Mus musculus: one gene and its partner. The protein of the gene in region 2 purifies or fractionates together with the protein of the main gene of each other region. This does not show direct contact. Links are inferred from orthologs where the notes say so. Each region holds a gene or a part of one and is shown on either strand. Other genes may lie near its edges.

Region 1 (6,125 bases), on a different chromosome or scaffold from region 2:
ATACTGATGCAAAATGTAAGAAATTATATATGGTTATTTTTTTACCTTCAAATGAGTTAGATTTTTCTAGTTATATAAAAATAACAAAATGAACCAGTAAATTTGAAGTGAACCATTTTGTAAAAGTCACACATGAGCCACTTCAGCAGCTAGTGTTGCTTTCCTTATAAATCAGGGTAAAGTGACAGAACACAGGTATACCTTCTTTGTCATGCTTAATCCACTCTGTTGTTTAGGAAGGTGAAGCAAAGAAACTGTACTCCCATCTATACCCTGGTTTCCATGTACTATTAAAGGTCTTATTTATCTTAAAGTTAGTAACGTGCAGCCTGTACGTAAAGCAAAGATAATTCTAACCAAATTCTTGGGGGAAAAAAACTTGTCTTTAAATTAAGCCATAAAGCCATCTAGTGGTAAAATTTTCACATTTCACTTATCAGATCACTTTATGACCATCAGTTTCTTTTTTCTGTGTCTTGGTGTAGCAGGCATGCCCAACCTACAGCCTTTGCACTATATATGTGCCAATATAGCTATGAATACACTCATATGCAAATGAGAGTCATGTGTCAGTGTGAAAAGAGTTGGCACCACTGAAAGTGGTATTCTCTTATAAAAAGTGGAGGTCCTAAAGGTTATTTCTACAGATTACTAGTTCAATGATATATGTTTTTATTGTAATAAACAAGTTCAAACTGAATAGTAAAACGAAATGTTAAATGTGATTCACTATAGCTTTTTTTTTTCATCTGTTTGCAAGGTCTAATATCCAAGTCCCTTCATGTGCCAGAAAGTAACTAACACTGAGGTCTTGCCTGATGGGAAAATAAATTGGCATGGCTATTGTCTCTGTGCTGAGCTTTTCAAAGTGCTGACCATTGATAGTCACTAAAGTTGATCTGTGTGAGTAGGTCAAGAACCTGCATTTCAGACAAATTACTATACTCTGTTTGAAAATCATACAGTGAAATTTGTTTGGAACCATAGGAAATTATAGGTATAAATGCAAGTTATATATGTAAATAACCATTTTAGTGAAAAAACAAATAAAAAGAGGCATGTGTTTCTGCTCTCTAACGTGCTTCTCCAAAATGGAAACAAGAAACAAGCTGAGAGTGTGCTCGAGTATTTTCTTGACTCGTTCCATGATTTTAATGTTTAATGTCAAGTCCTTTAAACAAATCTAATGTAGTATTTTGAATATTTAGTTTCATCAGCTGGAATATTTGCTAACTATTAAGGATAGTCACATCTACAGCTGCTGGCTTCATGTCCAGTCCAGCTGGAAGTCACCCTGTCATTACACAAGTTTCCCTTGTTTCTGAAATTGCCAGCTGAGGGTAATTTAGAATTTTTTTTTATTTGCTTTTGATGCTGTTGATATTCACACACTAATCTGGTGCCCACATTTATTTTCATTTTGAAACAAATTTTTCCTTCTAGGTATTTGGAGTAGATGACAATCAGGATTATAATAGGCCTATTATCAATGAAAAGCATAAAGGTCTCATAAAAGACTGGGCTCTCAACTCTGCTGCAGTAGTAATGGAAGAAAGAAAGCCATTGAGTACACCTGGGTTTCATAACTCAGAGGTATGCAATTCTTTTTATAGCATAAAATACAAGTTTTCATCATTTGGAAGTTATTTTAAGTATATATATCTCCCCTTGTGAAATGCTTAAAAAACTAAATTTGGACTTTTTTATAATTTTGAATGAAAATGTAAAGCAATTCTAGTTTTCATTGTCCTTTCAGTGTTAGTGAGTGAAATAATTACAAATCAGCAAACACGTAATAAGCTCCATATTCCACTTTGTAAGTAGCACAATGAGACAAAACAAGAAATATACCCTGCTTATATTCTGTGGGGGTTATGTGTTTGCAATTAGAAGACTGAGCAGGAAACATGAGAGGGATACACTTGATCGCTGCAGTAACAACCAGTGTGGTATCCTGGATGTAAGGAGAGTCATGTAAGAACAACTGATCACTGATGTAAGAGCCAGTGTGGTACCCTGGATGTAAGGAGAGTGATGTAACTGAGGACAGTTTGACCACATAACTATGACATCAGAATTCCATTCCAGTCTATGTAGCAAAAGGGAATATACTTGCATAACACCTATGTTACTGGTTCAGATAACAGGCAGTGACTTCTAGTGGAAGCAGCCTTCAAGCTGTTTTAAAAATAAGGAAAATGCAGTGCAAATTAACTTGGCTGCTATCTTAAATCTTGTCATTTGTAAGGCCAGAAACCTTAAATGACTTTGATTTTTTTTTTTAAGTTTGAGGTGAGCACTGTGTGTGCATGTGCGTGTGTGCATTCACGCGTGTATGTTGCACATGCATGTGGGAGCCAGAGGAGCACATGCATGTTTTCCTCTATTACTGTCTGCCTTATTCCTTTAGGACAAGGACTTTGACTGGGCTGCCCAGCTGCTTGCCTTTACTGTTGCTGCTGATGTCACAAGCACACACAGTCATGATCAGCTTTTTATGTGGGTGCTGGGAATTTGAACTCAGGTTGTCGGGTGCTCTTAATCACTGAGCCATCTCTCCAGCCTTTTTCTTAATTCATCACTTTACTCTTTAGATTAATTTTCTCTAAGGAGTAAGTGAGTGATGAATAAATATAAAATGTAAATAAAAGAAAATCCAAGTTACATAACATTACTATTTCATTTATATTCCTACAAATATGTTTTTAGGGACAGATAAATAGATCTGTATGCTCAATAGTGTTAAAATTGTTACCCTGCGGTTTGCTATTTTCTGAAAATTGTTAGAACAATTACAGGCTTTTAGTGTTCTTTATTTCTCTTAAACTTAGGGAAGTTTTATTCTAATTTCTGTTTAATTTACTCACTGAAAACAGATGATATTAGTAATGATATCAGGCAGTGTGTTGGTATTTTGATAAATCCAGGGAAAGGTTTTTGTAAATTACTTTAGATTCCCTCGTCTCTCTTCCTCCATCTATGCCAGGTAAAATTCATATAGTTCCAGTAAGTTACTGTCTTTGTAGCCATCGTGTAACAGGCCATTAGAACAAAGCACAACATGCCATAAGTATATAATAGTGAAGCCGCTCTGTTGTGGATGCTCTTTGCACAGTGCAGGATCATCTGGTACTGTCTTTGGTGCTCAAGAGTTATAGATGGGGATTGTAAGACCTTGGAAGGGAGTCCAAGAAGTCTGCTAACTTTGGTGTCCAGTTTGTCTATATACATCTTTCTCTACATTTATTTCAATCTATTCTTGATACCATACAATATATTGTCTACATGAATCATTACTTTATCAGTATCTAGCATCAGTTTGCTCATAATTAACACAGTAACTTTTTAAAAAAAGGTATATTTAAATAGCTCAAAATGAACTTTTGTAGTTTTATATTTTTAGTGTGAATGGCTGCCTGAGTTAAGGTTTGGGTGAGAGGTGTCTTTGTTCTTTACAGTACTAGGGATTGAACCTGCCTTGTACTTGCTAAGTGAGTCTCTACCACAGAACTATATATCCCCACGCTCCCTTTCTGTACGTCACTAGGTTTCACAGGCTGATCCCACCTCTGATTTCAGCTTGAGATAGATAACTTTTATATTACCCTCAGCCTACAAATGCTAGGGTATGTCCATGAGTTAAGGGATACACACTTCACTAGAAGGGTTCAAAGACAGATAAAAACATAGATGGGTCTGGGTACAGACTGGGTATAGCAAATTTCATAGTGTGTTATTTTCAGCTTAAATATCATAGAAATACCAGGCTTTGGTTTCCTTTTTTTAAGATTTATTTATTTTTGTTTATATGAGGACACTGCAGCTGTCTTCAGAGACACCAGGAGAGAGCATCAGATCCCATTACAGATGGTTGTGAGCCACCATGTGGTTGTTGGGAATTGAACTTGGGACCTCTGGAAGAGTAGTCAGTGCTCTTAACTGCTGAGCCATCTCTCCAGCCCAGGCTTTGGTTTCTTGAAATCTATTAAAATATAACCTAGTATATTTGATAAGTCTTGAAACCCTGAAGCCAGTCTGATTTCTTAGAAAGTATAGGACTAACAGGTAACTTTAATTAATAACCCTTTAGATTCTCTTCCTTTTAATGGAATAAAACCAATTGCACTGGGCTAGCTGCAAAGCTGTGATTTGTGTCTGTCCTCCTCTGGCAACAGAATAACTGTTGTACCTAGTACCATGTTAGTGTATAAGAAGCACAGGAGATTGTATACTCCGTTCATAATAAGAATACATTGTGGTTGAACGGAACAGCTAGAGAGCCTTGATTGAAGAATCAATGCATCATAACAAGCTGAGCTTGAGACATGGCTTCTGTGTCACATGCTGTGACTGAATGAAGTTCTCGCTCATGAAAATGAGCATTGGCAGGGTTGTTGCATTCTCTCTCTCTGTTTTTCTCCTTTAGGAAGCCATATCTTCATCTGGAAGCAAACGTTGGGTTTCACAATGGGCTAGTTTGGCTGCTAATCATACAAGGCATGATCCAGAAGAAAGGTTAATGGAATTGTCTGCAACTGTAGAAAACGGTAATTTCTCTCTCCTCCTCCATGTTTACCTCTTTTCTCTCCCCTCCCTCCCTCCCTCCCTCCCTTCCTCCCTCCCTCTTTTAGTGGACCATGTGTATTTAAAAACAAAACAAGCTAAACTTAATACAGTTAGAAGTAAATTAAGCTTAAATGAAGTAAACTGAGGACTAGTGTATATATTATACAAGATGCTATGCTATGCCACCTAACCCCAAGTCCTTTTTCCTTAAAAACTTTGGTGTAGTTCATAAATTGAACCTTCCAAAGACAAAAGGATAACTACTAAGATTTAGTATTTCATTTTCAGACACTCTGCTTTTTTATTGTAAATTTTTGCTGTTCAAGTACAATTTTAAAACTTCAAAAAATTAACCCTTCTTGATATGCCAATCTGTTAGAAAAATATGTAATTACCATTATAGTGTAATCATAAAGATAAGGTAATAATTTGCACATGATTCATATATGTATGAATTTATATTATAAATTAAGGTGTCAAATATTGATTTAATTATTTTCTATTTCATTTTTTAGTAATAATGTTACCTTGTACTACATAAGTATATAGTATTCTAAATTATCAGTTTACACTTAAAAAGCTTTACAGTTAATTTTACACATTAAAATGCAAAACAAAGACTCACATATGATCCCTTCATTTTTAAATTCTTTCAAATATGATCAAATTTTTTTGTCTCTGTCTTATCACCTCAAAAGTATTCACTTTTGCATTGGGATCTACTAAATTGAAAAAAAGAAAGAAGTCATTTATTTTAATAAGCTGCCTTACTTAATATACCAGAAAATTATGGTTTAACAGTCCCTTGGTTATAAAATTATGACAAGTCCTGTCACTTTTTACTATTTTCATATTTTCTATTGATACGGATTGTCTTAGGGTTGTCCTGCTGTGAAGAGACACCATGACCAATACAACACTTACAAGGACAACATTTAACTGGGGCTGGCTTACAGGTTCAGAGGTTCAGTTCATTATCATCAAGGTGGGAACATGGCAGCATCCAGGCAGGCATGGTGCAGAAGGAGCTGGGAGCTTTACATCTTCATCTGAAGGCTGCAAGGAGAATACTTGCTTCCAGGCAGCTAGGATAAGGGTGTTAAAGCCCACCCCACAGTGACACACCTACTCCAACAAGGCCACACCTCCTAATAGTGCCACTCCCTGGCCCAAGCATATACAAAATATTACATGGAATTTTTTTTTAATGCCTTGCTAAAAGCTAAGATATTTTGCCCTTTTTTCTTTTCTTTTTTTAGGAAGTACAAATTTTTCACAGAAGGCATTCATTTTATACTGAGGATATTTTTAAACTTATGCTGTAACTAGTAGACATTCCTTTTATATGTGTCCTTTTGCTCTCATGAATTTCTGCTTTGATATTTTTATTTTAGAGACAGATACTGGTGACGCTGGTGTTTCCCTAAGAAGTACTAGTTGTACAACTTCCTTGGCTAGTCAGGGAGAGAGGAAGAGGCGAACTCTTCCCCAGCTCCCAAATGAAGAGAAGCTACTCGAGAGCTCCAGAGCGAAGGTCGTTCCACAGAGGTCAGAGATAG
Region 2 (6,125 bases):
GAGGGACCACCTCTCTTGTTTTGGACACTTGGTCCAGGGAATCAACTCAGGAGAGCAGTTTCTGCTCTCACTTTGCTGGTGAAGAATTAGTAGCCACCAGGGCAGAAATGGTGGTGGCCAGGCCCAGGCTAAGGACTGAGTGCCTGGGAACTTAACCCTCTGCAGAACAACCCTAGCATAGAAGCTGCTTTTATTTGCATTTGACAGCGATCAAACAGGACTGACACTTGCCCAAGGTCACAGTCAGTCTGAGGTACAGCTGGTAACTCTTCAGGGACCCTAACCTAAGAACAATTCCCTAGGGCCAGAGTCTCTGAGAAGTGCCTGCTTGTTCTGTGCCCTGTGGGAGAACAAGCCAGGAAAGGACTGAAAGTCTCTCTGCTTCTTCCAGCCACACCCCACGGTCACCCAAACTACAGTGCATTCAGCAAGAGGACTCCTCCCTCTGCTCCACTCAAGCACCCTTGGCTAGCCAGGTCTGAGTACGCACTGTTCAGTGCAAGTGTTTAATAAGCACCAAGGACAGAGACCTTCGGACAACAGAGAGTGGGGGCTGTGTTGGGGGCTATGTCTGAGGTTCACCCTCACCTTCAGCAGGGACCCTTCGTCGCCCTGGGAACCCTTGTAGCACTTCTTCTGTTTCCCACTCACGGTGTTGTAGACCCTGGGGAAGTGGGGTTGCCATGTTGGAGCAGAAGACACCTCCTTTCCTCCTGGCCCTGCTGCCCTCTGCTCTAGAAGCCTCTGCTTCTTCCAGTCTCCATGACATCTGGGAGGGAGCCCCGCCTCCGGCAGAGAGGTTATGTCCTGGAGCACTGTTGACTTGGCATCGACTCCCTTTCACACAGCAAGTTTAGGGCTTCGCCCCAGGCAGGAGGAGCCAGGAAGGAAGCAGAGAACACACTCCCCAGGCTAACTAACCCTGACAACTCCTGACCCTCCTACAGGCCACTCAGGACTCCCAAGGCTCCCTTCATTTCAGGCCTGACCACTGTGCACTTTCCTGGACTTTGAGCTTCATGATGGAGGGCTGGGCTACTGTGGCCCCACTGTGACAGCAGCATTCTCGTGCCCAGTGAGACAGTTAAGTAAGCTATGAGGAGTTTGTGACTTCTCTGTCCGCACAGACCCAGGAGAGCCACAGTCTGCAGGGCTGCTGCTGGCTAAGCCTGCTGGAGGCACCTAGTTTTGTGTAGGTCATGGTGGCCTCCAATTTGCTGCTATGTACCTAAGGCTGGCCTTGAACCCCCAGTTTTTCCCCAGTGCTGGGATTACAGGCACACACTGCTATGAGGATCAGGATCCTCTGACACTCTCCTCCCCTTGAAGAGAGGCTCTGTCCTCTTGCAGTCTTTCTCAGCTACAGAGCAGAGCTGCTGTGACCTTGCGACTCTTACAGAGCTGAGTTCTCTCTCCCTCAGACAGCTGGGAGACAGCCTTCAATTATAACTACTTTTATCAGTGCCGTGTAACTTCTAGGGCACATGAATCCTCCTACCCTGAGCCCCTCAGAAACCTACGTTGTCTTACAGAACTGAAAGGCCCGTCTCTCCTTTTGGGGCCCCTCAATGCTGCCTATGTTAGACCTAACACTCTGGGCATGGAAGGGTCTACCACTGACTCTCTTGTGCTCGTCATAGACTGCACTAACTCTCCTAGTGCTCCAGCTCTCTCTCCCTTTAAGAATCTCATTACAGCCGGACGTGGTGGCACACGCCTTTGATCCCAGCACTCGGGAGGCAGAGGCAGGTGGATTTCTGAGTTCGAGGCCAGCCTGGTCTACAGAGTGAGTTCCAGGACAGCCAGGACTACACAGAGAAACCCTGTCTCGAAAACAAACAAAACAAAACAAAACAAAAAAAAAATCTCATCACACTAGCATGAGGCTGTGCCTCTCCTAATATTCTGGAAACGGAAAGGCTGCCACTGCCTTTGGGACCTCTGTCATATTATCCACATGGCTGCCTACAGCCAAGAGCCTCTGGCTCTCCTCATAAAGCTCTTCTGAAGAGTGACCTCATCCCAGCTTAAGAACTGCTATCACAGTAGGTATAATACCTGCCTGCTTGAAGCGCACATCTAAGAAACAAAGGCGGGGTCCATCAGCCTTACCAGCTTCTCCAGAAACAGATGCACAGTGAGAAAAAGCAGGCAGTGTCTCCTCAGGGAGAAGACAGTCAGCAAGCAAGATCTTACTAGGCCAAGCTGGAAGCAAGCCGGGGCCAGGCCAACAAAGGGCACAGGGAACTCCTCACCTTACGTTGCGGTCCTGGCAGGCCACTGCCACATACTTCTGTGTGATGTCGATATCCATGTCATACAAGGTGGTCTTCTCTGCTACGTGGTGGGTACGGACAAAGTGCAGTCCATCCGAGGCCTGGCAGGGCAGGCAAGACCTTCAGAGGGCACCCCTGACAAGATCCTGATCTTAGTCCCCAAGGAGGCCACCCCACTTTACCTGCTGGGCACTGCGAAAGTAGATGCTCTTGTCAGCTCCACAACTGATCATCTGGACATCTCTGGTGCCTGGAAGAGGAGGAGAAGGGGCTGGACAGGGCTACCCTATGCTACATAGGAAGGAGGCAAATGGGAAGCTAGGAAATCCTACTTCAGGGCAAGCGACCAACTCTATTAGGATCAGAAAGGTTCCTACTGGTGGGAGGCCTTCTAAGACACTGTGTGAGGCAGGTCTGGGCAGAGCATGGGCACACAGGACACGGGGGGTGGTGCACACTGGCAACCCCAGCACTCTGTAATCCAGCACTTGGGCAGCCGAGGCAGGAGGAACTCAAATTCTAGGCCAGCTTGGCTATAGGAAATTCTGTCACAAAAAAACAAGAACAACTAAGGGCCAGGGATGTAGCTCACTGGTACAACCCTTGTTTAGTATATTCAAGGCCACAGTACTGTAAGATAAATCAGAACAAGTGAAAACCGTGTGTGTGATCCATGCCTGTGATCCCAGCACTTAAGAAACAGAGGTGAGATCAACTCAAGGTCATCCTTAGTTAGCTCCACACTAAGTCTGAGGCTAGTGTGGGCTGCACAGGATCTACCTATCTCCACTTCCAAGTAGTGAGATTATAGGCCCACGATCCCACAGGTTAAAAGACTCAAGCAGGTATCTTCCTGTCTCCGTCTACCTTTTCTTAACATTAACTTATTGTACACACAGTGTATAGTGTGCATGTGGAGGTCAGAGGACATCCTGCAGGAACTGGTTCTCTCTTCCACTATGTGGGTTCCAGGGTCATCAGACTTGGCAGCGAGTACCTTTTACCAGCTGAGCCATCGTGTCTGCCTCTTCCACCTTAGTTTTTTTTTTTTTTTTTTTTTTTTTTATCTAGGTCTTCATCTTTCATTGAAGCTGGAGTTCACAAGAATCCTCATGTCTCTACACTTTCAACACTGGGATTACAGGTAGCTTTTTATGTGGGTGATAGGGATTGGAACTCAAATCACCATGCTTACTTATAAGGATTCTACCCACTGAGCCATCTCTTCTGCCTCTGTGCTGGTACAGCTGCAGTACCAGATCAACCACCTCTGTAACACAGCAGGTGACTGTGAGGAAACCTGCAGAGGTTTAACCAAGGCGGGATGACCCTCCCTGAATGGGGGCAGCCCTGTATGGAGTAGCCTCAGCATGCACCTCTCTGTTCCTGACTGTGGATACTGTCTCCTACTCTGCAGTCATGTCTTCCTACCCAAAACTCTATCTTCTCCTAAACTGTGAACCAAAACAAGTCCTTTTTTTCTTTTTGAGACCAGGACCGGGTTTTTCTGTGTCACCCTGGCAGTCCTAGAACTCACTCTGTAGACCAGGTGGGCCCCAAACTCTGAGATCCGCCTGCCTCTGCCTCTTGAGTCCTGGGATTAAAGGTTCGAGACAGTACTGCTGAGGCCTCCCAATCACTTTTAAAGTAGCATTACTGATATTTTCAGTAAATCATAAATCAGTCTTTAGATTCCCCTGGTTGATACTCCTTTCTCTCAGGCCACAGGGCACGACTGTGCTTCCTTGCAAACAAAGAGCCCCATCTGCTGGGGGCCTGCAGGAGGGAGGGAAGAGCTTACCAGCAAACTTAATGGCTGTGATGGAGGAGGAGTGGTCGTCCAGGGTCTGCTCCAGGTTGTAGTTCTTCTCCACGTTTAACACATGGATGAGTCTGTCCCGACTGGCTGAAGCCAGCAAAGTCACTCCTGTAAGTGGAGAGGACAAGCCTGGGCTAACAATGTTTCTACTTCCCAGATAAGCAGGTGACTGAGATGTCCAATGCTTGGAGAAGGGGGTCTTTGGCTTGAGAGCTTCACCTAAGCTGCTCCAAACCAAGACAGGCCAAGTCCTGGACTCCAGACAGTCTTTTCCCAGAGCCCCAGTTTAGGAAAGGCAAATCTTGTGTGTGTGTACTACACTTATCTGCAGTAGGTACCTAAGCATACCACAGCACTCCTCCTGTGAGTCCTACTGTGGGCTGCCATGCATTCTCTTAGCCTCACTTTAAACCATGGTCCAGCTCTGAGTTTTGGCTACCCAGACCCCAGGCAGGCCTTGCTGACCACTTTCAGCCAATCCTTTCATTGGGCCTTCTTCCTCTTTATTGGCTCTCAGACTCTGCCTGCTCTGGTCACCTAGTAGAGGTTTTTTGTTTTGTTTTGTTTTTTAAATATTCATTTAGACACACCAGAAGAGGGTATAAGATCTCATTATGGGTGGTTGTGAGCCACCATGTGGTTGCTGGGATTTGAACTCAGGACCTTTGGAAGAGCTGTCAGTGCTCTTACCCGCTGAGCCACCTCACCAGCCCCCTAGTAGAGTTTTAATAACACCGCCCGAGGCTGGGCTAGCTCAGGAAAGAGACACTGAAAGAGAATCTGGTGGGCAGCGTGTGGAGGATGAAAGAATGAAGGTTGGTACTGAGAATCGTCATGCTATAGTAGGATCTAACTCCATCTAAACTGGATAATGTGGTGGTCCGAATGAGAAATGGCCCCATAGGTCACGTGGTTGAACACGTGGTTCCCAGTTGGTCCTCCCATACGGAGAGGTAATGGAGCCTCCAGGAGCTCGCCGTGTTGCTGGAAGGGTATCAGTCACCAGGGATCAGCTGTAGGACTTGCAGCCTCACCCTACTTCCTGCTCTCTCTGCTTCCTGTGTGCAGACAGATCATCAGCTGATGTCCTGTTCTTGTCACAGGCCAGGCCTTCCCTGACATAAAGGGTAGAGTGCTTCTCTCGCTCTCTCTCTCTCTCGCTCTCTCTCTCTCTCTCTTGAAGCATGAGGTAAAATAAATTCTCTCTTCTGTACATGATCTTTGGTCATGGTATTTCATTACAGCAGCACAAAAGCCACTCAACACAGGATATTCCAAGTGTATTGTCTGAACCAAAAGATGAAGAAAACAGACAAACCCCACATGGAGGGAAACTCTACATGACTGGCCTGTACACTGCAGAAAGCCCAAGTCCAAATACTAAGTTAAGACTGGGAAGTACTCCAGAATAAAGACGATAATAAAGCCAAGACAGCTACAACATGTGAACCTAGATGAGAAACAATGCTTCTATTAGAGACAGTACTTAGGAACAGACAAAATTTGAGTAAGAACCATTGTATAAATATCATGGTATCAAAGTGGAATACACATATTTGATAAGTGTAGCACAGTGTTCCATATGTGTGTGCATATAAATGGATATAAACACACGTGCATGCATGTATGGATACACGTGACCAAGATGAGACCCAGGGTATCTACAATGACAGGTAAGGTTCCGGCACTGAGCCACACCGCTAACACAGTCATACAAATGCAGATGTCTTCTTCTGAGGGGAGGGAGGGGCAGGGGACATTATGCCTGAACTTTTACATCACCCTGCAAAAAAATAAAATGTGTATGCTCTTATTTTGATCTGCATGTAGCACTCGCATACCCACAGAGCAACAGGAGAGAAAAGCAGAGGAAGTCACGCACAGTCAAAGGGTTAGACTCCATTTACAAGAGAAACCTGGATCTAGATGAAAGGGCTGTGTGTATTTGCTATAATCTCCTGGCAATCTTTCTGTAGCAATTTAACACTTTAAAAGGCACGCGGAGCACGCAGTCCGTCCCTCCAGCAGAT

What was found. The genes of interacting proteins can lie anywhere in the genome.
Region 1: the proteins of Wdr62 (region 2) and Cep170 purify together in Homo sapiens (affinity purification with mass spectrometry; 3 studies listed by BioGRID and IntAct, with this or other methods). This does not show direct contact. The link is inferred for Mus musculus from reciprocal best matches to the Homo sapiens genes WDR62 and CEP170.

Annotation. Positions count from the first base shown.
Region 1 is NC_000067.6:176,756,819-176,762,943, reverse strand, and holds part of Cep170 (centrosomal protein of 170 kDa), read left to right. Parts: intron 1-1,443; coding exon 1,444-1,593; intron 1,594-4,426; coding exon 4,427-4,547; intron 4,548-5,960; coding exon 5,961-6,125.
Region 2 is NC_000073.6:30,251,728-30,257,852, forward strand, and holds part of Wdr62 (WD repeat-containing protein 62), read right to left. Parts: intron 4,204-6,125; coding exon 4,078-4,203; intron 2,527-4,077; coding exon 2,459-2,526; intron 2,378-2,458; coding exon 2,256-2,377; intron 665-2,255; coding exon 589-664; intron 1-588. UniProt on the Homo sapiens protein: Required for cerebral cortical development. Plays a role in neuronal proliferation and migration.